5 linked regions of the Macaca fascicularis genome follow. The protein of the gene in region 1 interacts with the protein of each later gene in a biochemical or structural test. Links are inferred from orthologs where the notes say so. Each region holds a gene or a part of one and is shown on either strand. Other genes may lie near its edges. The genes, in order: BCAR1, CRKL, PTPN1, PTPN12 and CRK.

Region 1 (6,367 bases):
TGGGAGAAAACGGCAAGAACTCCTGGTCTCTGCCCAAGACCCCGGGGTTGGGAGCAGACAAGGAAACGGGTAACACGACCACAGTTGTCACTAGGTTCACAACAGTAAGAACAGCACAGTTCCTCCCTGCCAGAGGCAGAGCTCTTTCCCTCACAGCCACCAGCTCATTTAACCCTCAAAACAACCCCATAAGACAGAAATACCTGCATCTTACTAGACAGGAAAACCAAGGCTCAGAAGCTCCCTGACAGTCCAGGGTCACTGAGTCCAGAAGCAGCAGAGGCCAACCCCAGGCTGAGACACAGTAGAGCTGGGTCGCTCCACTTTATCTCCACCCAGGGGTGATGCCTGGGTTCGTGGAAACCACGAGAGGAAATGTCACGGGCCTTTCCCACCCCTCCTGTCCACACCCCCAACACACACATGCACCCGCCCCAGCACAGAGCCTCACACACAGCAGGCACTTGGGAAACACTGCTTTCTTTCATACCCAGAACCGTCACAAACTTGGGCCAAGTTTATTTCTGGAGCATTCTATTTGCTTGTCCCAAAGAGCCTCCATGGCCAACGGATGCAGGCCCAATGAGCGTGCGCCCAACTGGCCATCCGCACCCGGGACCCACCTGGAGGGGTCCTGATCACCCCACTTGGCCCTGGCCTCAGGCTCTGAGGGGCACCTCCTCTTCCCTCCTCCATGTCCCCATCCTGGGTGGAACTCCAGGACCTGCCAGTTTAGTGGCATCTTCCCCTAATACTCCCACAGACAACTGGGTGGCCAGGGTCTGGGCTCAAGTCCTGGGTGCCCAGGTGGCAGGCAGCAAGGGCGTGGGCAGATCACATAGCCTATGCGTGGGGCCCACATTCCAGAGCCACCCCAGGGGAGCATGGCTCCTGTCCTGCCGGCCTTAGTAGGGCGTGAAACCTCGGAGAGGATGAGGCAGGGAAGGCGTGCAGGCCCTCAGCCCCACGCGTGACACTCAGCAGCAGGAGGGAATAAAAAGACACCTGTGGGGTGGCCACTGCCAAGGGTGCCCTGACACAAGCACAGAGCACAGCCTGGCTTTCGTTGCAGCGCCACAGCAGATGCCTTTATGCCCAGGCCAGCTATGGTCTGGAAGCACGCCCCAGCCCCTACTCCTGCCAGGGCATCCCAGGCACTGTCCCTAAGAGGCTGGGCAGAGGAGGTGGCATGGGGAGGGCCCTCCTGCTTCAGGACATGGAATCTGCAACCCAAAACACCCCACGGACAGTGGGGACGGCTGGCAGGCCCCAGGCCTGTACCCCTGCAGGCAGGATCAGCGGGGTTCACTCAAGTGGACTTGCTGGAGCTCATGCTTGTGATCCGGACTTTTGGCAGAGAGTTCAGTGTGAGGCTGACCCCTGACTTCAGAGACAGCAACAGGCCCAGAATAGGGGTAGCTCCCACCTTCAACCCCAACTGAGTCATCAAGGAGGCTGGACCCGCCCCTTCACCCTACTTCTGCCCCAGACTAGCACCTAGAGGTGGGAGGAAGTCAGGGCAGCAAGATGCAGATGGAGCCAGGGCCTCTCCTGTGCTCAGAGGGCCAGGAAGGGCCTGACAGAGGGCAGTGCCCCGCCCTCTTACAGGGAGACCACCCTGCAGCCCCTTTTTTGGGGGCTGAAGAAGAGGCTTGCCCAGTGTCTTTGCTGGAGAAACATCCCTATCACCCAACTCCACGCCCCACACTTCAAGTCTGACTCCAATACTGCCTCCTCCAAGAAGCCCCCCTGGAGCGCACCTCCCCTGCTGGTTGGTTCTAGCTGCTTCAGCTGGCTGTGGGCTCCTGAGGTCAAGGGAAGAAGTTGTCCAGGCTCAGGAGAAAAGGGTGGTAGGACCCACTAAAGGGACAGTAGATGCCAGCAGAGGGCCACAAAGGCACAGCCTTGGAACCAGAGGGTCCCTACCAAGTTGATAATCCCAAAAGAGCATGGTGGTCCCCCAAGGACCAGAGCTTCCTCAATCCCAGACTGGGAATTCAGAAGCCACATGTGGTGCTGCACTGGGGGCCATGTCAGGAGACCAGGTTCTGGATCCAGTTCTGAGGACAACTCACTGTCTCTCTGTACCTCAGTGTCCCCATCTGCACCATCCGTATAATGGGAAAGGGGCTTGAAGAGCTGTCTCAGGGCCCTTCCTGCACAGACAGGAGGCCCTAGTGGCACTGTCCTTATTTCCATTCTTTGCCCAGACCTGGGGCCATGGTACCAGTCCATAGGGCTCACCCTCCTGCTCCGACAAACAGTAACGGCCAGAAGCTCCAAGCCTCCTGCCCCAGCCCAAGGTGACTTTCCTGGCAGAACCTGGAACTGCCCTGCCCTGCCTCCACCCAGCTCCCAAGCAAGCAGTGCCAGCAGGAAGCGTCAGCAGCTCCTCCCCAAAGCTCCTTTCCCCACAGCCCCGCCGCCCCGGTACCTGGGCCCCGATTCTCCAGGCACCCCGACACCTGCTCTCACAGGCCAGCCAGTCCCCACCACCCAACTCTCCACCGAAGGAAAGGAATGAGCACAAGAGGGGGCGTGCCCCGGCCCAGGGCCATGGGAAACATCTCACCTGGCCGAATCCAGTAAGGAAATCAACCCATGGTCATTCTGAGGTGACCAAAAAAGCAGCGAGACCCAGGAGGAGTGCGGGAAAGGACACCAGGGACTCTTAAGAGGGAACGGGAGCCTTGTGGTGGGAAAAGGAGCTGCTGTTCCCGATAGGAACCCAAAACCCCATCTTCCGGGTCGTAAGCCCCTCACCACGCACCCCTAGGCAAATCTCAGCTTTCCCAGCTCCCTCACCTCGGCCCAGCGATCAGCCTCTCTGACCCTCGAGAGGCAGCCCCGCCCCTGCTCTAGCTCTGTGGGTCCCCCAACCATGGACTCCAAAGCCTTCACGTTCACATTGTAGAACCCGGCCCCGGCCCACTCCCGCGACTCTCGTGTGCAGCTAGGACTCCTGTAGCCAGCCAGAACTCGGCTTCCACCGGCGCTCGGCGTGCAGGGCTGCAAAGCCCGCGGCGCGCCCGCCCCCACCCCCGCTCCGCTCCCGGAACCCAGCGCCGGCGGCCGGAGTGAATCATTAACCGGACCCGGGTGCTCCGGCCGCACAGCCTTCCCCGCTGGCGCCAAGCACTTGCCCGCCCGGCCTCGGTCCCCCGGAGCTCCTCCCTCTCCGGGAGCGGTGGGCAGTCCCACGCCACACCAGACGGACCACCCGCCCGAGACTCAACGGTCCCTCCTCGCAGCGGAGGAAACAGGCTCGGAGGCAGGGCGCAGAGGCCCAAGGTGACACAGCAGGCGGCCGCCGGCCGGGGAGCGCGGGCCCCGCCAGTCACTTTCCCGACACAGGCATCTTCCTGCCGGTTGGCGGCCCCCGTGCCCGGCCCCGCCAACGCCCCCGAAGCGCGCAGGCTCCGGAGCCCCCGCGGTTCCTGCCTCCCGGCTCCCCGACCAGGGCGCAAGGAGGTCCCGGGGCCGCGGATCCCGGTCGGCGGTTCCCAGGCCCCGCAGGTCCGGCAGGAAATGCCGCTCACTTAACCCCTTCCAGCCCGCGCCAGACCCGGAGCCGGCAGGGCTACCGCCTCGAAGCCCAGACGCGGCCCGGCCCCGCCTGCCGCCCTCACCAGGTGGTTCATGGTGTCCAGCGGGCCTGGGGCCCCGGCTCCCGCGGTGGCGCACACCGAGCTGCTCTGGCCGCGTGCCCTCGGGGCTCCGAGAGCGCCGCAGCTGCCACCTCGGCCACCCAGAGCCGGTCCAGCCGCGATCCGCCAGCCGCCGCGGCCCAGCCGGCCCAGCCCGATCCCAGCATGCCCAGCCGCGCGCGCCCATTGGCCGCCGCCGCTCTCCATGCAAATGAGCCGCCTGTCAGGGGCGCGGGCGCGCAGACAGAAGCCCGCCCAGTAGGTGCCGCCCCCCGCCCCGCCCCCCACCTCCCACCCCGAGGCTCCAGGCACCCGGCCGAGGCCAGGCTTCCAGCCTAGAGCGCAGGACACCGCTCTCCAACAAATCCAAGTCCCCGCCTTCCACCCGGGCGAGAACGCACCGAAGGCCTATGCAAATGCCTCCACTTCTGGGAAGGCTGCCCGGATTGCCTTCCTCCTCCAGAGCCGAGCCACGGCGTCAAGTCGACTTCTGTCTTTCCCGCTAACCAACCCCAGGGCATTCATCGCGTGTCGATGGGCCGTGGGACTCAGATCTGAATCTAGTGGGAAAGGGGAGGGGGCGTGCGCCAGCCTGCAGAAGAATCACCACCACCACAGCTCCGACTGTAGACGGTCCCACCGTGTAAAGACCCTGGAAATGAAGCCTCAAGCAAGGAGGCTGGAGAGCTCTCAATCCAGCACTTTTCACGGGCAGCACCTATCTTCCCCTGAATTGTGCCGACATCTGGGGACTCCAGCTGAGTTGATCTGCCTCCTCTCATTACTCATTCCTAGGCTCAGCCTAAAACCTGGGCCCAGTACCCTCTTGAGTCCTGCTCCAACTCATCTGCTTCAGCGACCTGGGGTAGGAGGGCGGCACTGGGGGAATGAGGGAGGCAGAAGGAAGAATCACCCAGGGGAAACGGAGTGGAGACAACCTTGGCTGTCCTGAGTTGCCCCTTGCTCGGTTGCAGGTCAGTGACTGTCACCCCCTGCAGCAAAACCACGGTGCCAGAGCCCCTGGGCCTGGCCAGGGATGTACAACCTGCAGTAAGAACGTAAGACGAGCCTGGTCCAGACCAGACAGGACCCTCAGTCAACAATCCTGGGCCACTGGCTGAGCAAGGGGATGCCATGAGGCAGCTCTAGTGGCAGGGAAGCAGTGGGGTGGACCCGGCTTCCCACAGCAGAGAATTCTCAAGCGTGGCCTATGACAGACATAAGCCTAGGTGGGCCTGCAGCTGCCCCTCTGCCTGACACCCAAGGCTCAGCCTACACAGCACCTGGCGAGATGTGCCGCCTTGGCAGACCCTCTCCCCTCTCTGGGCTCCTTTCTCATCTGAAAAGGGGCTAGGGCAGCCCAGGTTTGGCTGCTCAGGTGCTCTGGGGAGCTTGTTTAAAAGCAGACTCCTGCGTCCCACCCCTCCCAAAAAACTGGATGTCTGCATTTCCTCAATATTTGGCTTGGGAACCACTGGCCAGAACTCACAGCACAGCGGGTGAGGAAGGACCAGTGGGATGGGACACAGCGTGACCCAGAGTCCTCAGGAGGAACAGAACAGCTCGCCAACACCCTATGCCTCTGGACACAGCCCACCTCACCTCAGAAGAGGAGCCAGCCTTCAGGGAGGCTGCCTGGAGCATCTCCTCCTGCTTGTTCCCAAGAGCTGTGCCTGGCCCCTCCTGCACTGACCCTGTCCAGCCACCCACTCCTCAGCCTGACTGGCACACAAACCAGCTTCCTAGAGAGCAGGTCTGAACCAGCGGGACCCTCAGGAGCCTCAGGTGATCCCTGGGCCTCCACTTCTGTGGGAAGGGGAGACCAGGCCTCATGGGCAGGCAGTGCCCTGCTGGCAGGGCTCCAGGCAGGAGTCTGCAGGGATGGGCAGGGACACAAAAGGCCTGGCCCTCAAGGGAGCCGGCCCCTGCTCCATCCTAGTTGGCCAAGGAGAGGGGTGCAGAGAGGAGGTGGATGGCTGGGACCCTGAGGGATGGGGCCCTCCTCCCCCAGGAGCTGGATTAGAGCAGCACTGGGGGTGGGGCTGCTGGTGTGAGCGGGAGGCAGCAAAGGGAACAGGCTCCGACACAGGCATTTCAAAAATTTGCTCGTTTTCCACTTAAATTCCCTCCCCCCAAAGCCTGTGCCTCCCAGAATGGCATTTCCGCTTTGGAAACAAGGCCCCAGGAGTTAAGCCCCACTGTGTTGAAGGGGATGTAGCTGGGGGGTGGGGAAGGAGCACCCACTGGGCAGGCTCTGGCTGGGGTATATGGGGGCAGAACCTACCCCACCCCCAGTCCAGCCTCCCGGACCTCTGCTGTCAAGGACAGGGATGCAGCCCCACATACCCGGCAGAGCCTCCACGCCTAGCCAGTGCCAGGGACCCTATGCCCATGCACTTATTTTGTACACACAGCAATCCTGCAAAACAGGCTCACCATTAGCCCCAGTTTGTTTTTTGGGTTTGAGACGGGGTTTCACCATATTGGTCAGGCTGGTCTCGAACTCCTGACCTCAAGTGATTCACCCGCCTCAGCCTCCCAAAGTGCTGGGATTACAGGCGTGAGCCACTGTGCATGGCCTAGGACCATTTTTCACATGAAGAGACTGAGACCCAGTTTAGCAACCACTGTCCCATCCCATACACTTCAGGGAACAGAGGAGACAGGGCCAGGGAAGAAATGGAGCTGCTAGACCTCAGCCCACCCTGCAGCTGGAAGGG
Region 2 (6,424 bases), on another chromosome or scaffold:
ATTTATAAACAATTACAAAAGAATGCAATAAAAATTAATTTAGGCTGTGACCACAGTGTATACATAGTAATCAGAGAGTATGGTCAGTTTTGGTTCTGCTTTTAGAATGTGTTTGGAGTCACCAGAGATGTGACCCCTGAATGCTTCATGATGATTATTAGCCTACTAAAGGAAAAATTATAGAGAGGTGAAGGAGGCTCTACACTTAGAGGGCAGAGAGTGGGTTGCTGTGGCTCACATCTGTAATCCCAGCTACTTTGGAGGCTGAGGCAGGAGGGCTACTTGAGCCTGTGAATTTGAGACCAGAGTCAGCAACAGAGAGACCTGTCTTTAAAAACAAAACAAGGCTGGGCGCGGTGGCTCACGCCTGTAATTCCAGCACTTTGGGAGGCCGAGGCAGGCGGATCACAAGGTCAGGAGATCAAGACCATTCTGGCTAACATGGTGAAACCCTGTCTCTACCAAAAATACAAAAAATTAGCCGGGCATGGTGGCGGGCGCCTGTAGTCCCAGCTACTCCGGAGGCTGAGGCAGGAGAATGGCGTGAACCCGGGAGGCGGAGCTTGCAGTGAGCTGAGATCGCGCCACTGCACTTCAGCCTGGGCAACAGAGCGAGACTCCGTCTCAATAAATAAATAAATAAATACAAACCCCAAAAAGCCTAATTCAGTCAAAGCATGGGTGGAAGTCAGATTTGGTTGAGTAGCTGGGCGAGTGGCTCTCGCCTGTAATCCCAACACTTTGGGAAGCCAAGCTGGGAGGATCACTTGAGCCCAGCAGTTCCAGACTAGCCTGGGCAATACAGTGAGACCTCATCTCTACAAAAAATTAAATAATTTTAAGTCACCACTGGGATTACAGGTAGTGGCTCACGCCTGTAATCCCAGCACTTTGGGAGGCTGAGGTGGGTGGATAATGACATCAGGAGTTCAAGACCAGCCTGGTCAACATGGTGAAACCCTGTCTCTACCAAAAATATAAAAATTAGCTGCGCATGGTAGTGCGTGCCTGTAATCCCACCTACCCGGCAGGCTGAGGCAGGAGAATTGCTTGAACCTGGACCCAGGAGGCAGAGGTTGCACTGAGCCGAGATTGCGCCACTACACTCCTCCAGCCTGGGCTACAGAGCGAGAGTCGGTCACAAAACAAAACAAAAAAACAGAAAAAACGCTGGGCAAGGAGCAGGTGATTATTAAATGGTAAATCTGACAGTGAAAAGCAGTTAGAAAACGAAGTGGAGATTTTTCTCTCCTCCCTCACCCACCGAGGGTATGCTCAGGGTTTTAGGCTATAAAGGTACAGGCCCAGGGAACGAGTGAATAATAATAATGGAAGACTCATATGATGCTTATGTGCCAGGTACTATTCTAAGCACTTTGCATATATTAGCTTATTTCATACATAGCTGGGCCGGGCGCCTCACATCTTGGCTGAGGGGGAGGATTGTTTGAGCTCAGGAGTCTGAGACGAGCCTGGGCAACATAGTGAGATTTCGTCTCTATTAAAAATAAAAAAAAATTAACTGGGCATGGCAGCGTGAGCCTGTAGTCCCAGCTACTCGGAAGGCTGAGGTGGGAGGATCCCTTGAGATGCAGAAATCAAGGCTGCAGTGAGCCATGATAGTTCCACTGCACTCCAACCTGGGTGACAGAAGGAGAACCTGTCTCAAAAACAAAATAAAACAAACAGGCCGGGCACGGTGGCTCACGCCTGTAATCCTAGCACTTTGGGAAGCTGAGGCAAGCAGATCACCTGAGGTCAGGAGTTTGAGACCAGCCTGGCCAACATGGTGAAACCCCGTCTCTACTAAAAATACAAAAATTAGCAGGGCATGGCTGCGGATGGCTGTAATCCCAGCTACTCGGGAGGCTGAGGCAGGAGAATCGCCTGAACCCGGCAGGCGGAGGTTGCAGTGAGCCGAGATCGCGCCCCTGCACTCCAACCTGTGGATAGAGCGAGACTCCGTCTCAAAATAAATAAATAAATAAATAAATAAATAAAAATAGAAAACAACAAAAACAAATAGGGATTAATAAATAGGGAGAAGCAGGCATAATCCAGGGCAGGCGAAGCCTCCGGGCCACGCCCGAGAGGCGTTTGCATTTTACCTTCAACAGTTCAAAGCCCTGGATGGCCAGGTTACCCAATTGTGGCCTGCCTTGACTACTTAATTGAGTCAATCTAACCCCCACCTTCTCTCTCCTCTCTCTCCATTTAGCGGGTCACGTAGCCACTAGGGCTTCCTTAGCCTATCAAGCCACCTGGGGACTGAGTCATTCAGTCACCTATCTGGTAGTCACATCTGCCCCTGGGGTCATCCCTTTACTGGGCCACCTCGGCCCATCGTGACCTGTCACTTCTTGAGCTCCCTCAGGCCCCTAGGCTGGCCAGGTCGCCTCAGTGCCACGCCTCCCTGGCCCGCGATTCGGCCTGCACGTTACGCTTTGTTCCCAGAAGCAGGTTTTCGACACGCCGCTCCCTCTCGGCTCCAGCTGTTTTCCTGCCAGCGCTGGGAGACCCGGCAGCCGCAGCGCCCCCAGCGGCGCGCAGCGGCCCAGGAAGAGAGTGCCTACCGCCGGCGCCTCTTCAGCCTCCTCCCGGAACGCGGGAGCGGGCGCGACCAGCGCCCACCCAGATCGTCGTGACGGTGCTCCTCATTGGCAGCATTGTGTGACGCCACGGAAGGGCCCCGGCGGCCGCCGGGAGCCGGGGCTCCGCGCGTGCGCAGACGGAGCGCGCTGAGCGCAGGGGGAGGTGGCTGCCGCTTCTCCCGCGTCCGCCATTTTGTTGCTGTAGCTATTGGGAACGAGCTGGGCAAAACCACCCCGGAGGCGCGACGCTCCTTCGAGTTCGGTGCCTCGTGTGACGGCGGGGGTCGGTGAAGACCCGTGGAGCTGCGACGCCGGCGCGTTCCAGGCCGGGAGTCACTGGAGGCACCCCTGGGACGCCGAGCAGCCCGAGAACCCCGGGGTGGCCTCAGCTGCGGCTCGGCTTTGCGTGCCCTGACCCCCCGGCTCTGCCCTGCATTCCCGGGCGGCTCTCCGTGAGGCGGCCCCGGAGCAGGCGGGCGACGTTGGAGGATGCTGCGGGCCTGGAGCCGAGAGGAAAGTGCTGGCCCAGCCCTCTGAGCGCTCCTCGAGGTGTGCGAGAGGCCCTTCCTCGGCCCCAAAGCCGTCTGCCGGGCTAAGGCGTGCAGAGCAGGCGAGGACAGCCGCCGCCCCTACCGCCGCAGAGTCCCCGGCCCGACACCATGTCCTCTGCCAGGTTCGACTCCTCGGACCGCTCCGCCTGGTACATGGGGCCGGTGTCTCGCCAGGAGGCGCAGACCCGGCTCCAGGGCCAGCGCCACGGTATGTTCCTCGTCCGCGATTCTTCCACCTGCCCTGGGGACTATGTGCTGTCGGTGTCCGAGAACTCGCGGGTCTCCCACTACATCATCAACTCGCTGCCCAACCGCCGTTTTAAGATCGGGGACCAGGAGTTTGACCATTTGCCGGCCCTGTTGGAGTTTTACAAGATCCACTACCTGGACACCACCACTCTCATCGAACCCGCGCCCAGGTACGCGAGAGCCCGCCCCGACCGCGGAGGAAGGTCGATAACCGGGTCGGTCGAAGGGTGTTTGTGTAGGGAGGTGGGGCGCGCTTGAACCCATATTCCCCCCATTCTGAACCAAATTATTTTCCAGAAGGCCTTCCTAATGGAAAGCTAGTGTCAGGATCTAGGTCACTGGATAAGAGGATGCGTTTTTGTTTTTTGTGTTTTCCTCATGAGGCTGTTTCTCAATGTCAGGAGGATGCGTTTTAAATGTTTAACGGGGGTGGCATAAAATGCACGCTTTTTGCCTTTCGTGACTTTCTCTGGGTGTAATACTGATGCAGGGATTTGCTGGTTTTCCTAAAAACCTTTTTTTTGAGACGGAGTCGCCAGGCTGAAGTGCAGTGGTGCGATCCCGGCTCAATGCCACCTCCGAGGGCCTCCCAGGTTCAAGCTATTCTCCTGCCTCAGCCTCCCGAGTAGCTGGGACTACAGGCTCACGCCACCACGCCCAGCTAATTTTTGTATTTTTAGTAGAGACGGTGTTTCACCATTTTGGCCGGGATGGTCCCGATCTCTTGACCTCATGATCCCCCTGCCTTGGTCTCCCAAAATGCTGGGATTACAGGCATGAGCCACCGCACCCGGCCAAAAACCGTTTTTAGCCATAGACTTCTTTGAGAATCTGGAGATAGCCGAGCACTCACCACCCAAGCCCCACCCCTCCTCGCCAAAGGCACGTACACACAAGTTTGCACACTATCCCAGGTTCTTGTACTCCCTCCAAATCTCTGAACTCCAGGTTAACTCCAGGACTGCAGCCTTTGTAACAGTCGACAAAATGAAACCAAAATATCAAAACTATATATTTGATACTGTGGTGCCAAGTTTGAAGCAGGCCAGACACCACCACTTTTATAGTACGTTAATCACAAAGATAAGGTGCATTGGCTTCAGCGAGGATATTTTTGGAAAATGTATTTAATATTTTCTCCCCAAGGACCATTAGTAGGCCAGAGATTAGTCTGATTAATTTCCAAGGTGGAATTAGGCTAAAATGTTATTAAGGAAAATTTTTGAATTACACTGAGTTGTATCCTAGTTCAATTTCAGACGTGCTTTTTGTGTTAAGTCTAATGACTTAGTATCTCTTATTTTTAAATTAATGCAAAGTGACCAAGTAGTCTCTTTTCCAAGTGAAATACATTATTTTAATTGATTAGTTGCTTTAATTTGCCTTAAGCATTTTAACAAAGATTTGTTTTTATTGTTGTGTTTGCCCTGTAACACTTTGATTTTATCAGAGGTTTCTTTTATTTAAATTATCCCAAATTTGAGTTGAAAAGTTGCCTAGAATTTTTAAAGTAACAAACTGGCCAGTTCATTTCTTAAACATCTGTTTTAAAAGGATTGGGTGTTGATGCAGTTTTTCCAGGGTTAAATGTTTATGACTTTATGGATTTGTCGACCGGGTATTACTCTAAACTTTAAACATTAAAAGCTATTATAATTAAGGACACGAACTGTTTGCATAGTGAGATAGAGATAGAAAAAGAAGCCATGATAGTATAATGACTTTAAGATTAACTACTGAACTAAATGGACTTTAAAAGTGGGCAGAAAGTGATTATAAATCAAATACTGTATAACAAAGACCAGGACACCAAGAATCTGATTGGTGAAACATGCGGTTCCTGGCAGATGCTGGTAGTTGCAGTCAACTTTGAGCACAATATAATTCCAATTTAAGGGGTTGAGAATCTTAGAACCCACTGTAGTGAGATTTGTAGTATGATTGAATAAATTATTCATCTCGTTTGTGAGAGTGAATTATATAATTAATACCAGGCATTCATTAAGCCATGCATGTACTTACGTTGAGGTGATGAATACTAATAATACAGCTGTTTCAAAAAGCGAGTTAATGGCGGGGTGTGGTAGCTCACGCCAGTAATCCCAGCATTTTGGGAAGCCGAGCCAGGCAAATCACGAGGTCAGGAGTTCGAGACCAGCCTGACCAACATGGTGAAACCCCGTCTCTACTACAAATACAAAATATTTGCTGGGCGTAGTGGCGGGCATCTGTTATCCCAGCTCCTGGGGAGGCTGAGGTAGGAGAATTGCTTGAACACGGGAGGCGGAGGTTGCAGTGAGCCGACATCGCGCCACTGCACAGCCCGGCGACAGAGTGAGGCTCTGTCTCAAAAAAAAAAAAAAAAAAAAGAAAAAAGAAAGAAAAAAAGTGAGTTAATGGCTTGAATCTCTTTCTAGAGGGAGGAAAAGAAGTATGCTGCTTCTGTCTATCCACAGAATCGCCTCCAAATTTTCCATACATGCATGTGTCTTCTTAGAGAACAAGCATGTAATTCTGTTTTTGCCTCCTCTCGTCCTTCCTTTACTGCAGCTCTACTAGGCTGCTCACTTATTCCCTGGTAGCCATCCTTCCTTACTCATACCTTTGTACCTTTGCACCTTTGCTCCAGCTGTTGGCTCTTCATTGACTGCCTTAACTACACCTCGCTCTCCATCTGTTGAAATCCTACCTGTTGTTCCAGTCCCTTCACAGATGATAGGGCCTTTCTCTGACCCTCCCCCACACGTTCAGCTTTGTTTCTCCTTCTCTGTGCCCTCTGCCTCAGGCCTGTTGCTTTAATTTAGTTTTTCATTTTCCTAGGTATCTCTGAAGGAGATCACCATGCTGGTTGAATTAGATACTGACTGAATTTACTTTGTTATACTGAATCTTCGAATTGCCACTCCCAAGCCTGGTTTTCATGGCTTAGCCCTAACATGTTATTAGCCTTTTATAGAAAGCTAGTGACTACTAGAGCCTTGCCAAACGGAAAACTCAGTGTAATGCTTCTTCACATCCCAAACAGGATAAATT
Region 3 (5,784 bases), on another chromosome or scaffold:
AGATCTGCAAAGACACACACCACACTTAGCTGACACTGCACGGGGGAGGTGAAGGAGGACCCCTTGGACATTATTCTCTGCTCTTCTATACTTCCGACTTTTAAAAAATGAGAAGACAGACTTGTATTATTACATAATGATGTAATATAATGAAAAAAAATGGGAAGGGTGTTCTTGGTTTGGGCACTAGTAAAATGTTTCAGTCATAGTGTCCAGGGGTGATACTTTGGGGTCGGGCTGCCTCGACTCCCTTAGTAAATCCCCAGGGCAAAGGGAAACTGTGTAAACAGTTTCTCGACATCCCCAGTGTCACCTCACAAACCAGACAGAACTTCCCATGTCCCAAGGAAGTGCTAGGATGCGGGGTAGGCAGGACAGTAGCACAAGTGTACATGGCATTTGCTAATGCAACACTTGACATGATACACCCAATAACAGGTATTTAAAGGGCTTCCTGACTCCACACCAGAGTTGAAGGGCTGAAATCAGGAAGCAGGAAATTTGACTTCTCCAAAAAGCAAAGTCCCCAAGAAGTCACTTTTGCCTCAACCTCATCCCCAGACCTCTCCCTCCTTATCAACCCCCTCCCCCATAAGCCTCCCCTAAATACCCCAATGGTGCTGGGAGGACCAGGAGCTCAGGGTCTGGTAAAGGCCTGCCCTGTATTCATGTACCAAGAACTTACTCAATGGCCCCACAGGACTGAACACAGCTGGGCTGATGCTCTACATCCCAGATGACGAGAGGCATCTGGGCTGATTTTGGTCATAAATGGGGAGCAACTGGGACAAGACAAAAAGGCAGTGAAGAAAGGCCTCAGTTGAACGCACCCTGACCTAGCTCCTTGCTCAAAGCAGCCTTTCTTCATACAGCATTCTGGCTTCCCCAGAATTTTCATTTCCAAATTATTAAGCAAAATTACAATGTTCGAAATCACCCTATGGCCTAAAGCCATATAAAACTAAAAGCTGACATGGAATGAGAAAACAAAAATTATGATGAAAAACAAAACAAGAAACTCAGTCTTTTTAGACCAACTTACAGGTAACAAGTTAAGACTTGAGAAGATTAATTAAAAAGCAACTCTTTTTATCCTCTTTCCCAGATACCCTTTTGGTCACAAGCCACTGAGTGTTTTACAAGAGGCTCAATTATTAAACCACTTTCAGGATTTTGTTTCCATAAAGATGCCAAAAGCCAACAGAAATTTTAAGTCATTTTTCATGCTTGTTCACATGATCTAATGATGCCTTTCTTCTGGGCCAAAGAATGAGAACCATGGCGAGCTACTCTGAATGGCTCTGGACAGAGATTCCTGGTCTACTGCTAACGTTCTTAGATTTGCCATCACAAGTGCTTGATGCTCTACGACAAATACTTCTGGAAGCAACACAGGTACAGACCCTCCTCCAGCCATGACTGCTGCCTCTGCCAACAGACCACAGGCAACTCTGGCATTTTAATGTTGTTTTTTATAAGCTCTCATTTCCAGCAATGCCATCTTACACTTCCCAGAAAAGATTAGTGTTCCTTACAACCAAACTGAACCTGTGAAGGAAGACTTTCCCCCTTCCTTGTTGCTTTTTGGTTTGCTGAAAACCTGACCTTCTAAAGGATGTGGCAGATTTTATTTGAGGTGTGGATAACAGCACTCTCAAACTCTTAAATTGACATAAAAAAAAAAATTCAGACAATCTGCTTACCTGGGTAAGGATGTAACTCCTTTGGGCTTCTTCCATTTTTATCAAACTAGCGTTGATATAGTCGTTATCTTCTTGATGTAGTTTAATCCGACTATGGTCAACTGAAAGGCAAACCAGAACTCAGAGGTTAAACCCGGAAAAGCTGAATGTGTCCATGCAAGTGCATACCCTACAGAAAAGCAAAGGTGAGTTGGTGGCATTGGGGCATTCACACTGGCTGAAGCCCTGTTTTAGCTGAGATTAGTCATCAGTATGGGGCGACTGGGATTTTCTGAAAGAGTTTTCAGAAGTGTTTGAAACTTCACACTATGAAGCAACAGCGGTAAGCCATATTACAATATGGATCATGTCCTATCTGGGAAATCTGTTCTCAGGTCATATCTTGTTATGACACTTATTACTCTCCCCTCAAACCTTCCAGGACCAGAGGAGGGCATCAAAGGATCTGTTCTCTGATGTGTAACTTTTTTTTTTTTTTTTTTTTGAGTCCGAGTCTTGCTCTGTCACCCAGGCTGGAGTGCAGTGGCATGTTCTCAGCTCACGGCAGCCTCCGTCTCCCGGGTTCAAGTGATTCTCCTGCCTCAGTCTCCCGAGTAGCTGGGATTACAGGCACAGGCCACCATGCCCACCTAATTTTTGTATTTTTAGTAGAGATGGGGTTTCACCATGTTGGTCAGGCTGGTCTCGAATTCCTGGCCTCAAGTGATCCACCCACCTCAGCCTCCCAAAGTGCTGGGATTTCAAGTGTGAGCCACCCATGCCTGGCCGACATAAACTCTTAGAGAGCAAAAAATATGGTGGCTTCAATCTTTAAAAGGGAACAAAATCCACCATAAATTCCACCTAGTCCCTACAGCTGTTGCTAGTACAATGAGCTACAGTAGGTAGGATTTAAGATCGAACTTCAACCTCACCTCTGTCCAGTAGTTTCAAGATTAAATAACCTAAGTACACAGCAGCATGAAGTCATACCTTGACCTTTATACAAGGTTTTTTTTTTTTTTTTTAAGTTCAAGTATAATGAACTTCAATGATTCTAAATTTTTAAAATTCAGAGCATATCACAAAGACATTTGAAAGAGAATTTAAACCCAAACACTGAAAGCATATTAAATGTACCTTTTGGTTTTTAGAAATAAACTCTCATTTGGAAGTTCTGCCCCAGATCACTAAAAGAAAAAAGCCACTTTTTTTCTTGTATCATTTGTTTGTCACAAAAGCAGTAGCTCCCTGAGGGCCACTTTCCTTATCCTGTTAGTAGAGCTAATAAGAGCAGGTGGGGACCTTTATTTCTGGCACAGCACAAGGGACAATAAACTCAGGTGACCACCCATAAATAGTACCTTCTCCCTGCGTCCAAAGGGGAAAGGAGACATGAATGGGGATAAGTGGTCTGGGGCTTTTTGTTCTAAAGGAGGATTCCAAAGAGAGATGTCTTTGAGAACCAGCCACCATCTGGAATACTGTTTCTCATTATGGACGCTTAGTACAAATAAAGATACTTGGATAATTTTTAAGTGGATCATAGAGATAAAAGACCTCAAAAAATTATGTAATGGTATTGGTGGGTTATGTGAGTGGGTTCAAACAGCACTGGGTGACTCTGGGCAAACAACTCACCTCAGAGCCTTGGTTTTTTTAACTTGCTAAACGGTAGGTGACAAGAGGGTTGTGGGAAGAGTCAATGAGCTGAGGTGTATACAGAGCCTCGTTCAGCAAGTGCCTGTAACTGTGGACTGCTGTCATCACCAGCAGCACCGTGAGCTGGGCAGCAGGTGACCTTCTACCTTGACTCATTCTTCCCCATAACCTTCACAGCAAATGACTGTTTCTACTGGAGGATAGGAGTAGGGGAGAAAGATAAGACGAGTGGGATTGGGAGTGAAAAAGCTGGAGAATTGTTTCCCTGGAAGAATTTTTATTTTTTATTTTTTTGGCTAGTCAAGTAAAGCAGTGGGGATGGAGAAGGAACAAAGAAATCTGTAACTGGTTGTGATCATATAGTTGTAAACACTACTGTACTTGGACCAGCCCCTGGAAGAATATTTTTTAAACTGTTTTTTTTCTCTGTAAAACTGATTCATAAAACCATTTAGATAAGAAATGTTAAAAAATGTAGCAAAGGAATATTAAAGACAAGATTATTCCCTAATTAGAGCAAGTACAGCAAAAGCTAGAGACCCAGGGTATCCTGGCACCATGTGAAAGAGGTGAACGGTGATGGTTCTGTTGCGTTCTGATCAGCGGTCTGGAGGTTTCTGGCAGGACTTCACAGCAGAATCCTCAAGGCTTTTTCTTTTTGTTTTTAAACAAATATCAATGAGGTGCCTCAGCTGAGACGTGCTAAATCAAGAGTACCATGTGTTGGCGCCAATCATGTCACCTGATGACCTAGAAGTGCACTTCAGATGTTGGTGACAACCATCCCCACCACCGACAACATTTATTGAGCACTTATGTCTGCGTGAGGTACTGGGCGCTGGGCTAAGCGGTTTATGTTGCCTCATCTTCACACACTCCTATGAGAGAGAACAACCTGCCCAAAGCCACTCAGCTCTAAGTGGCAGAGCTGACACACAAAACCAGGCAGGGAACCATGGTGGCAAGCCAAGAGGCACACGTTCTACACCAAGTCTAAGTCCATTTTTAGACCCCTTCCAGGAATCTGGGCGCCACCTAAGTCAGATCAGGATGCACTGCTAACCCTTCTGGCAGAGAACAATGACAGCCACCACTCCCAGCCATGGGCACAGGACCTGCAGGAAGTGCTCACTGGAGGAATGACTGGATAATCTTCTACATCCCTGGCAGAGCATACTACCACGGAGACATTGGCAGCTATGACCCCTCACTGCCTGACAATGTCTAAAGACCTGGAGGGGGTTCAAAAAAGCCTCTGTGGCCTAGAGGAGATGGCGCAGTTCACGTCCTGTACTCATTCCAGTTTTCCTTGCTTTATGCAAATCCTAACATGTTAAGTTATTTACTTTTCAGCTACCGGCAGATTGACAGCCAATCACTCAGAAGGCGGACAGGGCTGCCACAGGCCAGCAGGCACACTGACAATCTTAGGAAGAACTAACAGCAGGAAAGAGGGAGAAAAATGACGAGGTTGGCAGGGGTGGAGGCAGTGGGGACTCCAAGCAGAGATGCCTTGCATATTCAGTGCAGGGGACAACAGTGCCCACCCCTGAAGGCCTGTGTGGGGCTTCACTACAGCTGAACACAGTGCTTGTGCTCTAATGACGCTACTGCTGAGTCATCCAGAAAAGCTTTTATTATGCCTGCTATCCTCTGCTTCAGCTGGTAGGACAATGATTCATCACAAAAACAGTCAAAGCTAAAAAAAAGTGCTTTGAACTTCACTGAATTTTCCAGAAACTGAAACCTCAGCCCTTCTATAATGGTGGAAAAATGAGCCATTACTATACGTCTCTAATGCCTTTACTATAGGAAACAATCAAGTCATAAACCTCTGCTACATTGATTTATTATTATATTTCTTATTATACCAAACCCCGAGGCGAAAGGAATCTTGACTAAAAGGGCCTGCAGCAGAGGAAGAGCAAGACTGGTACCAGCCACGTGGATACTTACAGGGACTGACGTCTCTGTACCTATTTCGGTTTTTGTTCTTAGGAAGCTTGGCCACTCTACATGGGAAGTCACTGGCTTCGTGTCGGATATCCTACAAAAAAGAATAAAGACATTTAACTGACTGCCAGGCACTGAGGAAGACTCAGCAAAGAAACAGACATCAAAGAGAGCTGGACAGTATGGGAAACGCAAGGTGATAATTCAGAGGTATGTATCAGGTCATGGGGGAAAACCAAGGAGGAACGAGCACAGGCCTGGGGTGGGAGGCAGTGATGTGGGGCAGGAAGATGGAAAGATGAGGAAGAGGGCAGAGAGACAGACAGGAGGGACAATTTACTCTGGAACACTCCGCACAGCAAAGGCATGGGGGCTGGAGATCGCATCTCATGCCAGGAACAGTGAGTGGGCAGTAGGAGGTATGACAGACGGCTGGAGGACACGGTGGGTAGCCCAGATCACGGAGAGCCTTGAAAGCCAGGCCTGG
Region 4 (4,710 bases), on another chromosome or scaffold:
CTGGCCAACATAGCAAAACACCATCTCTACTAAAAATACAAAAATAATTAGCTGGGCTTGGTGGTGGGCACCTGGAAGCCCGGCTACTAAGGAGGCTGAGGCAGGAGAATTGCTTGAACCCAGGAGGCAGAGGTTGTAGTGAGCCAAGATCACACCATCGTACTCCAGCGTGGGCAACAAGAGCAAAGTTCCGTCTCAAAAAAAAAAAGAAATCTAAGGGATCAACATGAAGATGAGTTAGCTTTAAAACAAATTTAACAAGAAATTGTAGTATTACTTTCTCCTCCACAATAATCCCCCTTCTACTCATATAAGGTTTTCCATGTACTTTAGTTTCATAATTTCTTCATTCTTTCATATGCAGAGGGAAAATACAGACATCCAACAACTCCAATCTACAGTTGTCAAAATTCAGACTTAGTACTGAGGAATGGAATCTGTGCTCCAGTCTTGGGATAAGAAACCAGTTTTCGTTCCCAACATCCCCTTGGTTTGGTTTTCTTTTTCTTTTCTTTTTTTTTTTTGAGATGTAGTCTTGCTCTGTTGCCCAGACCAGAGTGCCGTGGTGCAATCTTGGCTCACTGCAACCTCCATCTCCTAGGTTCAAGCAATTCTCCTGCCTCAGCCTCTTTAGTAGCTGGGATTCCAGATATGTGCCACCACACCCAGCTAATTTTTTTGTAATTTTAGTAGAGAAGGGGTTTCACCATGTTGGCCAAGCTGGTCTTGAACTCCTGACCTCAAGTGATCTGCCCTCCTTGGCCTCCCAAAGAGCTGGAATAACAGGCGTGAGCCACCCCATCTGGCCCCCTCTGTTGGGCTTTCTACTAGGACTTTGGTAGGCTAGTAATGATAAGGATGAGGAATGCCTAGGGGCAATAAGTATTTAGAATTGGCACAGCCATGTTTTTGGCAGAAGGTACTCGCTATTCCCTAATTAAGAGATTAGGCCTGGCATGGTGACTCATGCCTGTAATCCCAGCACTTTGGGAGGCCAAGGTGGGCGGATCACCTGAGTTCAGGAGTTTGAGACCAGCCTGGCCAACACAGTGAAACCATCTCTACTGAAAATATAAAAATTAGCTGGGCGTGGTGGCGGGTGCCTGTAATCCCAGCTACTTGGGAGGCTGAGGCAGGAGAATCACTTGAACCTGGGAAGTGGAGGTTGCAGTGAGCCGAGATGGCACCACTGTACTCCAGCCTGGGTGACAGAGTGATACTGTCTAAAAAAAGAAAAAAAAAAGAGATTAAACCCCATTCACATTCATTTCCTACCAAGACTGAGCCAGCAAGAAGGCTGATAGTTAAGTCCAATTTCCTAGGAATGAAAAATGAAAAGCCAAGGCAACAAGTAGGCGCTGTAAAATTGTTTGTTTTTTTAATGGCAGGTCAAATATCCTGAAACATACATGTATTTTGATAGTCTTCTAATCCCAGTTGAGTTCAAATATTAAAGAAACACACACAAGCTAAGAGAATTCAATATTGTTCCAAGGCACTTACTGAATCTCTGACTAGATGAAAACAAGAACAATTAGGATGAACAATTAGACTGTATATAATATAAAAATAACTTTGCTTACAATTTACAAAATGTATTATTATTACAATCTTTGATCTCTGATAACCTGCAAAGCTGGCTGCATGAATCCAGCAAGTTTAAAATTCAGAAACTATTTTCTAAAACTCCAGGGCAAATAATTTACAAATAAAGTACACAAAGATTTAGACCATGCAGAAATTTCTTACATCTTCTGTTAATAATATTTCGATTGCAACTTTATCAAATTATATACCTACTTGCCCTGTACATATACAAAATAATGCATACATGATAAAACAGAAAAAGAGTAGTCCTTAAACTCAATATATCATAAAAGTATTACTATATTAACATGTCTACAAGCAGCGTGTAACAGGGTTAAGAGACGTTAAGGCAATAATACTTGAAGTTTCAAAATAAACCATATGTAATACTTTTTCCTAAGTATAGTATAAGGCAGGTAGATGGTCCCAGCAAAAAATATTAAAGTAACAATCTACACTGCTGTTAGTCCCACATATTAAAGATGGAATACTATAAATCTGGCTTTCAGTGGCACCTGAATTTTCCAGTATAACTTAAAAGTGTCTTTTAGCTCCCTGAATCATGTCCATTCTGAAGGTGGATCTCTGGGTCCTTTGGGTTTTCCACATCGATTACCAAAACCTACAGTGAAAATACCACAGTAACTAGTCAGTGTTCAGAAATACTTTTAAACTACTAAAAACCATGTCCACAGACATTCTGATTTTCTGGAACAAATAAATTTCCACAAGGGAATTTAGAATTTAAGCCAAACAAAACTCTGTAAATGCAAAACGATTGTAAATTTATCTGGGGTAACTGAAAATGATTGCTTCTTTTAAAAATCTTATGCTGAAAATAAACCAATTTTATCACAATGTAAGAAAAACATCCAAGATAATTTAGTCTGTCCAACACAAAAGATTTTTTTAATATACTGCAGTTTTCTATTTTAGTTTTTAATCTCAATGTGAAATAGAATTAAGTGCTTCATTTATTTCATGACTAGTTCAAGCAACTTTGGAAAATCATATACTTTATTCTTGGCAAGTGTCACTTCACAATGGCAAATGAGCTTTTCTCATTCTTGCCAGTGTTAACTACTTACTAAAAATTATTTATTAAAGAAATTACCAATATCTGTGGCTTCTGTTGGACTTTCTGATGTTTGTTCTCTCTTGTCACTGAAAGTAGGTGGACATTCTGTACACATCTCGTAGTGAATACCTCCCGCTGGATGATCTAAATAGCAACACAAAACCTTTGTTAATCACCATGCTTTGTAGCATCGTATATATACAACTCTTTAATTTTTTAAATGTTGGCAAGCATGAAAAGAGAAAATTTTCTCTCCTGGGCACCATAATTTTATAGGTCAAGATCAGTATAAATACAAACGTAGTGAGCACAGAAAATCATGTCAGGTATTATTGTGGTCACACAGAAATCTGCAGTGAGTACTTCTGCAACGTGAGGATTCTCATTATTTTTATTTCCTAAATCTAGGTCTTGACATATTACATTCCCTTAAGGTAGCTATACTATATGCCTATGTTCTAAGGGAATAATTGCAACTGAAATGCCTTTGTATGGAAATCAACAAGGTCAGTCCAGGAGCGGTGGCTCACACCTGTAATCCCAGCACTTTGGGAGGTTGAGGCGGGTGGATCACGAGGTCAGGAGATTGAGACCATCCTGACTAACACGGTGAAACCCCATCCCTACTAAAAAAATACAAAAAAGTTAGCTGGGCATGGTGGCGAGCGACTGTAGTCCCAGCTATTCGGGAGGCCAAGGCAGAAGAATGGCGTGAACCCAGGAGGCAGAGCTTGCAGTGACCCAAGATCGTGCCATTGCATTCCAGCCGAGGCGACAGAGCGAGACTCCATCTCAAAAAAAAAAAAAAAAAAAAAAGAAATCAACAAGGTCAAGGTTAATTAATGAAATATTTCCACCTGAAATAACAACGCAACTTTTTTTTTAGACAGAGTTTCCCTCTTGTTGCCCAGGTTGGAGTACAATGGCGCAATCTCAGCTCACTGCAACCTCCGCCTCCTGGGTTCAAGGGATTCTCCTGCCTCAATCTCCCTAGTAACTGGGATTACAGGCGGCAGCCATGATGCCCAGCTACTTTTTTATTTTAAGTAGAGATGGGGTTTAACCATGTTGCTCAAGGCTGGTTTCAAACTCCTGACCTCAGGTCATCGCCCGCCTTGGCCTCCCAAAGTGCTGGGATTATAGGTGTGAGCCACGACGCCAGATCTAACTACTTTTAAAGTTTTATGTTGTTTAGATTGTAGTTCACTCTTTAATTACCAATGTTCAACATTAGTAACAAAAGAAATTAACTACTATAATTCATTCATTCTTTCACAGTCTTGAACATACCCCATACCTCCATGAGGAACCTTTCTGGAAACTTGGAATACAAGTAAAATAACAGACAATCCCCATCCTCAAGATGCTTACAGTCTGGAAAGGAGCCCACAGACTTTTTTTTTTTTTTTTTTTGAGATGGAGTCTTGCTCTTGTCACCCAGGCTAGAGTGCAATGGCACAATCTCAGCTCAGTGCAACCTCCACCTCCCGGTTCAAGTGATTTTCCTGCCTCAGCCTCCCAAGCAGCTGGGATTACAGGTGCTCGCCACATTTTTGTATTTTTAGTAGAGTTGCGGTTTTGTCATGTTGGCTAGGCTGGTCTTGAACTCCTGATCTTGTGACTGCCTGCCTCGGCCTCCCAAAGTGTTGGGATTACAGGCATGAGTCACCACACCAGGCCCCACAAACTTCTTAAAGAAAATAAAGCTAGAGAACAATAAAATAGAAAATAAGTAGTTTAGGTCTTGCAAATCACTTAAGATCACTGCCACAAACTCTTCTTTGGTTTTGTTAGCTTCATTGTTCTTCTTTTTAAACAACTCTTTAAAAACATAAAAGCCATTGGTTTAGCTCAAGGGCATAACAAACATTAGGGCTATAGGCCGTGCAATGCCAAACCCTGGTCTAGTAGGAGACACAGAGAGATATATTAATTATTATAGCAGTGTGATAAGCTTTTAAATAAAATTATGCATAATGTGCAATAGAGACAAAGAGGAGAGGCATTTATATGAGACTAGTGGTGGTGAGATATTCAGAGCCATA
Region 5 (6,576 bases), on another chromosome or scaffold:
ACGTCAGCAGATGGAGACCATCCTAGCCAACACGGTGAAACCCCATCTCTACTAAAAAAAAAAAAATACAAAAAACATTAGCCGGGCATGGTGGCGGGCGCCTGTAGTCCCACCTATTGGGGAGGCTGAGGCAGGAGAATGGCGTGAACCCAGGAGGTGGAGCTTGCAGTGAGCCAAGATGGCACCACTGCACTCCAGCCTGGGTGACAGAGCGAGACTCCATCTCAAAAAACAAAAACATAAAGAAAGGGAAGACATTTGAATTTGAGACTCCAAAGTGGGTAGAAGAGCATTCCAGGCCAGGCACAGTGGCTCTCGCCTGTAATCCCAGCACTCTGGGAGGCCGATGTGGGCGGATCACGAGGTCGGGAGATGGAGACCATCCTGGCTAACACGGTGAAACCTCGTCTCGACCAAAAATACGAACATTATTAGCTGGGCATGGTGGCAGGCGCCTGTAGTCCCAGCTACTTGGGAGGCTAAGGCAGGGAGAATCACTTGAACCCGGGAGGTGGCGGTTGCAGTGAGCTGTGATCGCACCACTGCACTCCAGCCTGGGCGTCAGAGCAAGAATCCATCTGAAAAAAAAAAGAGAGACTATGGCTCAATTTTATGCTCTGAGCTAACCTGGGAGTTTGAACACCTGAAGACTGTTAAACGTTTTACACAAGGTAGCAACACATTCAGATTTGTATACATATATACTTTTTTGAGACAGGATCTCCCTCTGTCGCCCAGGCTGGAGTGTAATGGTGGGATCTCAGCTCACTGCAACCTCTGTCTCCCGGGTTCAAGCGATTCTCCTGCCTCATCTTCCTGAGTAGCTGGGATTACAGGCAGCCACTATCACGCCCAGCTAATTTTTGTATTAGTAGAGACGCGGTTTCACCATATTGGTCAGCCTGGTCTAGAACTCCTGACCTCAGGTGATCCGCCTGCCTCAGCCTCCCAAAGTGTTGGGATTACAGGCGTGAGCCACCGTGCCCAGCCAGATCTGTATTTTAGAAAACTCAGTGGGAGCTGTTTGCAGTGCAATTAGAGGCAACCAGACGAAAGGGCACCAGCGAGCAAGCCACTCATAGGAACACAGTCCAGAGTGACCATGACGGCAGTGAAAGTAGGAGATGCCCCTGGCTACAATTTAGTGTTTAGAAGTATCTGGGCAGGTGACCCCAAAGCCTCAAAAGAGAGGAGAACTCTGTACTTCACGTGGCTTGGCACACTCTGCTCCCTTTGCTTTGAATGTCCTTCCCCTTTTGTCATTCAGCAGTCAACACATGCTACCTCCTCTGGGAAGCCCTCTTGGATTACTCCGCAGACTGGATGGAGGGGGGCTCTGCTCTGTGTTCATGTCCGTTTCCCATGATAGCGCTTGTCAGCATTTGTCATCCTTTTGTCATGCAGTTTCCTGGTTCCTCTCACTGGTGTGTGAGTTTGAGGAGTGCAGGGCCCAGCATCCATCACCTTTGCACCCGCAGTGCAGGTGGAGTGTCCATAACAATGTCCTGAATGAATCAATGAAAATGAGAACGTCAGCCGGCCTGTGGAGAAGCTAGAGGAACGAGAAGAAACAGACCGACATGGCCGGGAGCGATGTTTCTCGCCTGTAATCCCAGCACTTTGGGAGACCGAAGCGGGTGGATCACCCGAGGTCAGGAGTTCGAGACCAGCCTGGCCAACATGGTGAAACCCCCGTCTCTACTAAAAATACAAAAATTAGCCAGGCGTGGTGGCGCTCGCCTGTAATCCCAGCTACTTGGGAGGCGGAGGCAGGAGAATCGCTTGAACGCGGGAGGCGGAGGTTGCGGTGAGCCGAGATCGCGGCACTGCACTCCAGTCTGGGCGACAGAGACACCGTCTGAAAAAACAAAATAAGAAAAAGAAAAGAGAAACAGACTGATATCCCAGGAAGCCTGGCCGAGAACTGAGGCCCCAGGGCCACACGCGTCTTTTCTCCTGCAATCCTGTCTGGGAGCCGCCGCCTAGAAGTCCCGGGCAGTCCGGGAACGCGAGCCTGAAGCAGCACCGCGCGGTCGGCGGCGCAGGCGCACGTCTCTGCGGGAGGCCGCGAGGCCCCGCCCCCGGGCCCTAGACCCCGCCTCCCATCCCCCTCATCCCCGGGCCGGGCAGGGCGGCACCGCCCATGAGGCCGCATGCGCAGTGCGCGCGCGAGGGCGCCTTGCCCTTCTCCCAATGGCGGGCCGCGGGCCCCTTCCCGGCAGCCTCCCTCGGGCAGGGAGCGCGTCATTTCCGGTGGGGAAGGCCCGCGGCTGCCGCCGCCATTTCGGGCGCTGCTGTGAAGCTGAAACCGGAGCCGGTCCGCTGGGCGGCGGGCGCCGGGGGCCGGAGGGGCGCGCGCGGCGGCGGCACCCCAGCGTTTAGGCGCGGAGGCAGCCATGGCGGGCAACTTCGACTCGGAGGAGCGGAGTAGCTGGTACTGGGGGCGGTTGAGTCGGCAGGAGGCGGTGGCGCTGCTGCAGGGCCAGCGGCACGGGGTGTTCCTGGTGCGGGACTCGAGCACCAGCCCCGGGGACTATGTGCTCAGCGTCTCAGAGAACTCGCGCGTCTCCCACTACATCATCAACAGCAGCGGCCCGCGCCCGCCAGTGCCGCCGTCGCCCGCCCAACCTCCGCCGGGTGAGGGACTGACGGGACGGGGGGCCCTGGGCGGGGTGAGGGCCGCGGAGCTCCCAGCCCGGCTGGCTGCTCCTTGAGAGCGGACCCTCGGGGTCGTGGGCAGAGGGCTGGGTGACCGTGGCAGGGGCCCGCCGGCTGCTGGGGCTCATTCCCACCCGGGGAACAGGAGTGTGGGGGAGGAGGAGCCGCGGACCGAGGCCCCGGGGTGTGCCTGGGAAGGGCAGCCCCGGGGAAGGGGAACTGCTTCGGCCCCAGGGTGGGGCTGGCTCCCGGGCCAGGCGCAAGGGTAGGGCAGGGCAAGGCAACGTGGGGACAAAGAGCTGAGGGAGATGTTGGCACTGCGGGGGCATCACTTGGCAGCGGCGCCCAGAATGAATCCGATAATCCTACAAGTGGCTTTTGGGCTGGAAGCGTTTCCTGCCGTGTTGGAGAGCCGGGTTTGGCCGTGCTCCCCTGGTGGCCTTTGGTAGGAAGTCACCACAAACTGGCCGGGAGGGATGGAGACACCCTCAGGAAACCGGTTAGTTTTTTCCTTTCTTGGGCATTTTTCCAAAATCCTTGTACCGTCCTCTTCCCCCGTGGAGGACGAAGGTGGTGAATTAAGTGATAGAAGAAAGCCTTCAGTGACCAGCCCAACCCAGTTTAAGGCGATGCCTGGCTGCGTGCAGGACATCTAAGCGTCCAGAAGACTGTCCGCCGGTAGAGGGTTCTGGTTTTCAAAGTGTTTAGTGGAGGAAAGACATTTTATTCCAGAGAATAAACCAGAAATGAGGCAGTGGAAACAGACCCTTCCCTGGATGTGACTGGAGCTTCATTTTCCTTGGACTTAAACATTGTCAGTGTGTACTTCAGGGCGTGACCTTGCTCAGTAAGATGGGGCTGCGGGCTGAGTCTTCCTGGATGCTGGGAACAGACTCTACGCCAAGAACATAAATTACCTGCGCTGGGTTTTTCTTGCCAGGGATCCCTGAGATTGACTGTCTTTCCGATGCCGTTGGAGTTGATTTGGGAGTGTTTCAAGGGAATAGATAGATGCCCTTAGTACTGGAGATTTGTGAGGTACGAAGTAATTCTGGGGTTCTCATTGTATGTGTACCTGTTTAACAGCATCAGGAGTCCTCGTGCCTTCACACTGTTGCCAAGTCGAAGCTGTTTCTTCTTGGCCGCTGAGACTGGGTTCAGACTAGTCTCCTATGAATCAGGAAGCTCCTGAGCCATCCTCTCTAGACTTTCTCTTGTAGGATCGTTCTAATTTAGATTTACTTGTTCCGGCCAGAAATGGAGAATTGAATAGCCAGTCTCTTTGTTATTAACACATACCAATTTTTATTTTACTTTTTCCTGAGACGGAGTCTCGCTCTGTCGCCCATGCTGGAGCGCAGTAGCACGATCTCGGCTCATGGCCACCTCCACCTCCCCGGGGCTCCCGGGTTCAAGATTCTCCTGCCTCAGTCTCCCGAGTAGCTGGGATTACAGGCACCCACCACCACAACCAGCTAATGTTGTATTTCTAGTAGAGACAAGATTTCACCAGATTGGCCAGGCTGGTCTCAAACTCCTGACCTCAGGTGATCCACCCTCCCAAAATGCTGGGATTACAGGTATGAGCCACCGTGCCTGGCCAACACATAACCAATTTTTTTCTTATTTTATTTATTTATTTATTATTTATTTATTTTGAGACAGAGTCTCTCTCTGTCACCCAGGCTGGAGTGCAGTGGCGCCATCTTGGCTCACTGCAACCTCCGCCTTTTGGGTTCAAGTGATTCTCCTGCCTCAGCCTCCTAAGTAGCTGGGATTACCAGTGCCTGTCACCACGCCCATCTAATTTTTGTATTTTTAGTAGAGATGGGGTTTTACCAGGTTGACCAGGTGGGTCTTGAACTCCTGACCTCAGGTAATCCACTCGCCTTTGCCCCCTCAAAGTGCTGGGATTACGGGTGTGAGCCACCGCACCCAGCTTTGTTTGTTTGAGGCGGAGTTTCACTTTTGTTGCCCAGGCTGGAGTTCAGTGGTGTGATCTCAGCTCACTGCAATCTCTACGTCGTGGGTTCAAAGGATTCTCTTGCTTCAGCCTCCCTAGTAGCTGGGATTACAGGCACACGCCACCATGCCTGGCTAGTTTTTGTATTTTTAGTAGAGATGGGGTTTCACCATGTTGACCAGGCTGGTCTCGAACTCCTGACCTCAGGTGATCCGCCCGCCTCAGCCTCCCAAAGTGCTGGGATTACAGGTGTGAGCCACCACACCCAGCCCAACACATAACTATTTTTAGAAAATGAGTATGGGGTCTATAAGTTCACAAATTATTGTAGATCTTTCTCATTCTGGCCAGTTTAATGGTGTTATGAGATGGGAATATTGATGTACCTGTGTTGGCCCTGAACCAGATATATGCTACTTTGATGCCACCTGCGTGGTATCTGGGGTTTTGCATTATATGTAGTAACATGATGGCAAACTTACTGAAACTCACTTTTCAGCCTTTTGTTTGTGTTTGTTGGTTGCCAGAGTTGAAAATGGCAGCCGGCAGGTTTGTTAGCTTGATATTTTTTCACATCTTAGCATAACGATTTTTATATCTCAAGCCTTACTTGGATAATGGAGCACCACCTTTTCAAAACAGATAAGAACTCAGTTCCTTGGCCCAGGAAAGAAGGTGAAGATTGCCAAAGTTTGTGGATGGGGTGTGGAATATTCACGAGTGTTGTGATAATTCTGCCATATTGTACCCCATTTTCTACGATTCAGTTGCTGTCTTTTCTCTCTTCTGAGACAGGGCCTTTGTCTCTCAAGCTGGAGTGCAGTGGCATGAACACAGCTCACTGCAGCCTTGACCTCCCGGGCTCAAGCCATCCTCCCACTTTAGCCTCCTGAGCAGCTGGGACTACAGGCATATCCACCATGCCTGGTTAACTGTTTAACTTTTTTTTGTGGAGATGAGGGGTTTCACTGTGTTGTCCAGGCTAGTCTCAAATTCTTGGTCTCAAGAGATCCTCCCGCTTCAGACTCCCAAAGTGCTGGAATTGCAGGTGTGAGCCACTGTGCCTGGCTCAGTTGCTGTCTTGTTTGTTTGTTTGTTTGTTTTTTGAGGCAGAGTTTTTTTTTTTTTTTTTTTTTTTTTTTGAGACAGAGTCTGGCTCTGCCGCCCAGGCTGGAGTGCAGTGGCCGGATCTCAGCTCACTGCAAGCTCCGCCTCCCGGGTTCACGCCATTCTCCAGCCTCAGCCTCCCAAGTAGCTGGGACTACAGGCGCCCGCCGCCTCGCCCGGCTAGTTTTTTGTATTTCTTAATAGAGACGGGGTTTCACCGTGTTAGCCAGGATGGTCTCGATCTCCTGACCTCGTGATCCGCCCGTCTCGGCCTCCCAAAGTGCTGGGATTACAGGCTTGAGCCACCGCGCCCGGCCGAGGCAGAGTTTTTACTCTTGTCTCCCACGCCAGAGTGCAATGGCGTGATACTGACTCACTGCAATCTCCGTCTCCCAGGTTCAAACAATTCTCCTGCCTCACCCTCCTGAGTAGCTGGAATTATAGAGGCCCACCACCATGCTCAGCTAATTTTTGTATTTTTTAGTAGAGATGGGGTTTCGCCATGTTGGCCAGGCTGGTCTGGAACTGCTGAACTCTGATGATCCACCCGCCTCGGCCTCCCAAAGTGCTGGGCCTGAGCCACCGCACCCGGCCTGTCTGTATAACCTCAGAATTACTTTGTACCTCAAGTGCTAAGTGCTTTGTACCTCAAATCTCAAGTGCTAAGTACTGAATCTTTGTTTTTCCTCTCACCAAGTCCTTTTGAAGTCACACAGAGAAATTTCTTGAATTTTAAAGAGGCGTATACAATATTAATAACTAATGTTTATTGACTGGTTATTCTGTGCCAGGTACTTTGCTTGAGTACTTTATGTGCCTTATTTCACCTGCTGTCTAGGACAGTCTGG

What was found.
Region 2: the proteins of BCAR1 (region 1) and CRKL interact in a test that uses a peptide from one of them, tested with the Homo sapiens proteins (2 studies listed by BioGRID, with this or other methods). The link is inferred for Macaca fascicularis from reciprocal best matches to the Homo sapiens genes BCAR1 and CRKL.
Region 3: the proteins of BCAR1 (region 1) and PTPN1 form a complex in vitro, tested with the Homo sapiens proteins (3 studies listed by BioGRID and IntAct, with this or other methods). The link is inferred for Macaca fascicularis from reciprocal best matches to the Homo sapiens genes BCAR1 and PTPN1.
Region 4: the proteins of BCAR1 (region 1) and PTPN12 form a complex in vitro, tested with the Homo sapiens proteins (3 studies listed by BioGRID and IntAct, with this or other methods). The link is inferred for Macaca fascicularis from reciprocal best matches to the Homo sapiens genes BCAR1 and PTPN12.
Region 5: the proteins of BCAR1 (region 1) and CRK form a complex in vitro, tested with the Homo sapiens proteins (2 studies listed by BioGRID, with this or other methods). The link is inferred for Macaca fascicularis from reciprocal best matches to the Homo sapiens genes BCAR1 and CRK.

What each region holds. Positions count from the first base shown.
Region 1 is NC_088394.1:71,076,466-71,082,832, forward strand, and holds the start of BCAR1 (breast cancer anti-estrogen resistance protein 1), read right to left. Parts: upstream 3,785-6,367; 5' UTR 3,642-3,784; coding exon of another isoform or gene 3,630-3,641; 5' UTR 2,884-3,629; coding exon 2,806-2,883; intron 1-2,805. UniProt on the Homo sapiens protein: Docking protein which plays a central coordinating role for tyrosine kinase-based signaling related to cell adhesion. Implicated in induction of cell migration and cell branching. Involved in the BCAR3-mediated inhibition of TGFB signaling.
Region 2 is NC_088384.1:31,890,207-31,896,630, forward strand, and holds the start of CRKL (crk-like protein), read left to right. Parts: upstream 1-2,724; 5' UTR 2,725-3,250; coding exon 3,251-3,561; intron 3,562-6,424. UniProt on the Homo sapiens protein: May mediate the transduction of intracellular signals.
Region 3 is NC_088384.1:106,660,320-106,666,103, reverse strand, and holds part of PTPN1 (tyrosine-protein phosphatase non-receptor type 1), read right to left. Parts: intron 5,392-5,784; coding exon 5,301-5,391; intron 1,805-5,300; coding exon 1,704-1,804; intron 1-1,703. UniProt on the Homo sapiens protein: Tyrosine-protein phosphatase which acts as a regulator of endoplasmic reticulum unfolded protein response. Mediates dephosphorylation of EIF2AK3/PERK; inactivating the protein kinase activity of EIF2AK3/PERK.
Region 4 is NC_088377.1:143,833,447-143,838,156, forward strand, and holds the end of PTPN12 (tyrosine-protein phosphatase non-receptor type 12), read right to left. Parts: intron 2,810-4,710; coding exon 2,702-2,809; intron 2,210-2,701; coding exon 2,148-2,209; 3' UTR 1,355-2,147; downstream 1-1,354. UniProt on the Homo sapiens protein: Dephosphorylates a range of proteins, and thereby regulates cellular signaling cascades. Dephosphorylates cellular tyrosine kinases, such as ERBB2 and PTK2B/PYK2, and thereby regulates signaling via ERBB2 and PTK2B/PYK2.
Region 5 is NC_088390.1:1,561,136-1,567,711, reverse strand, and holds the start of CRK (adapter molecule crk), read left to right. Parts: upstream 1-2,252; 5' UTR 2,253-2,396; coding exon 2,397-2,637; intron 2,638-6,576. UniProt on the Homo sapiens protein: Involved in cell branching and adhesion mediated by BCAR1-CRK-RAPGEF1 signaling and activation of RAP1.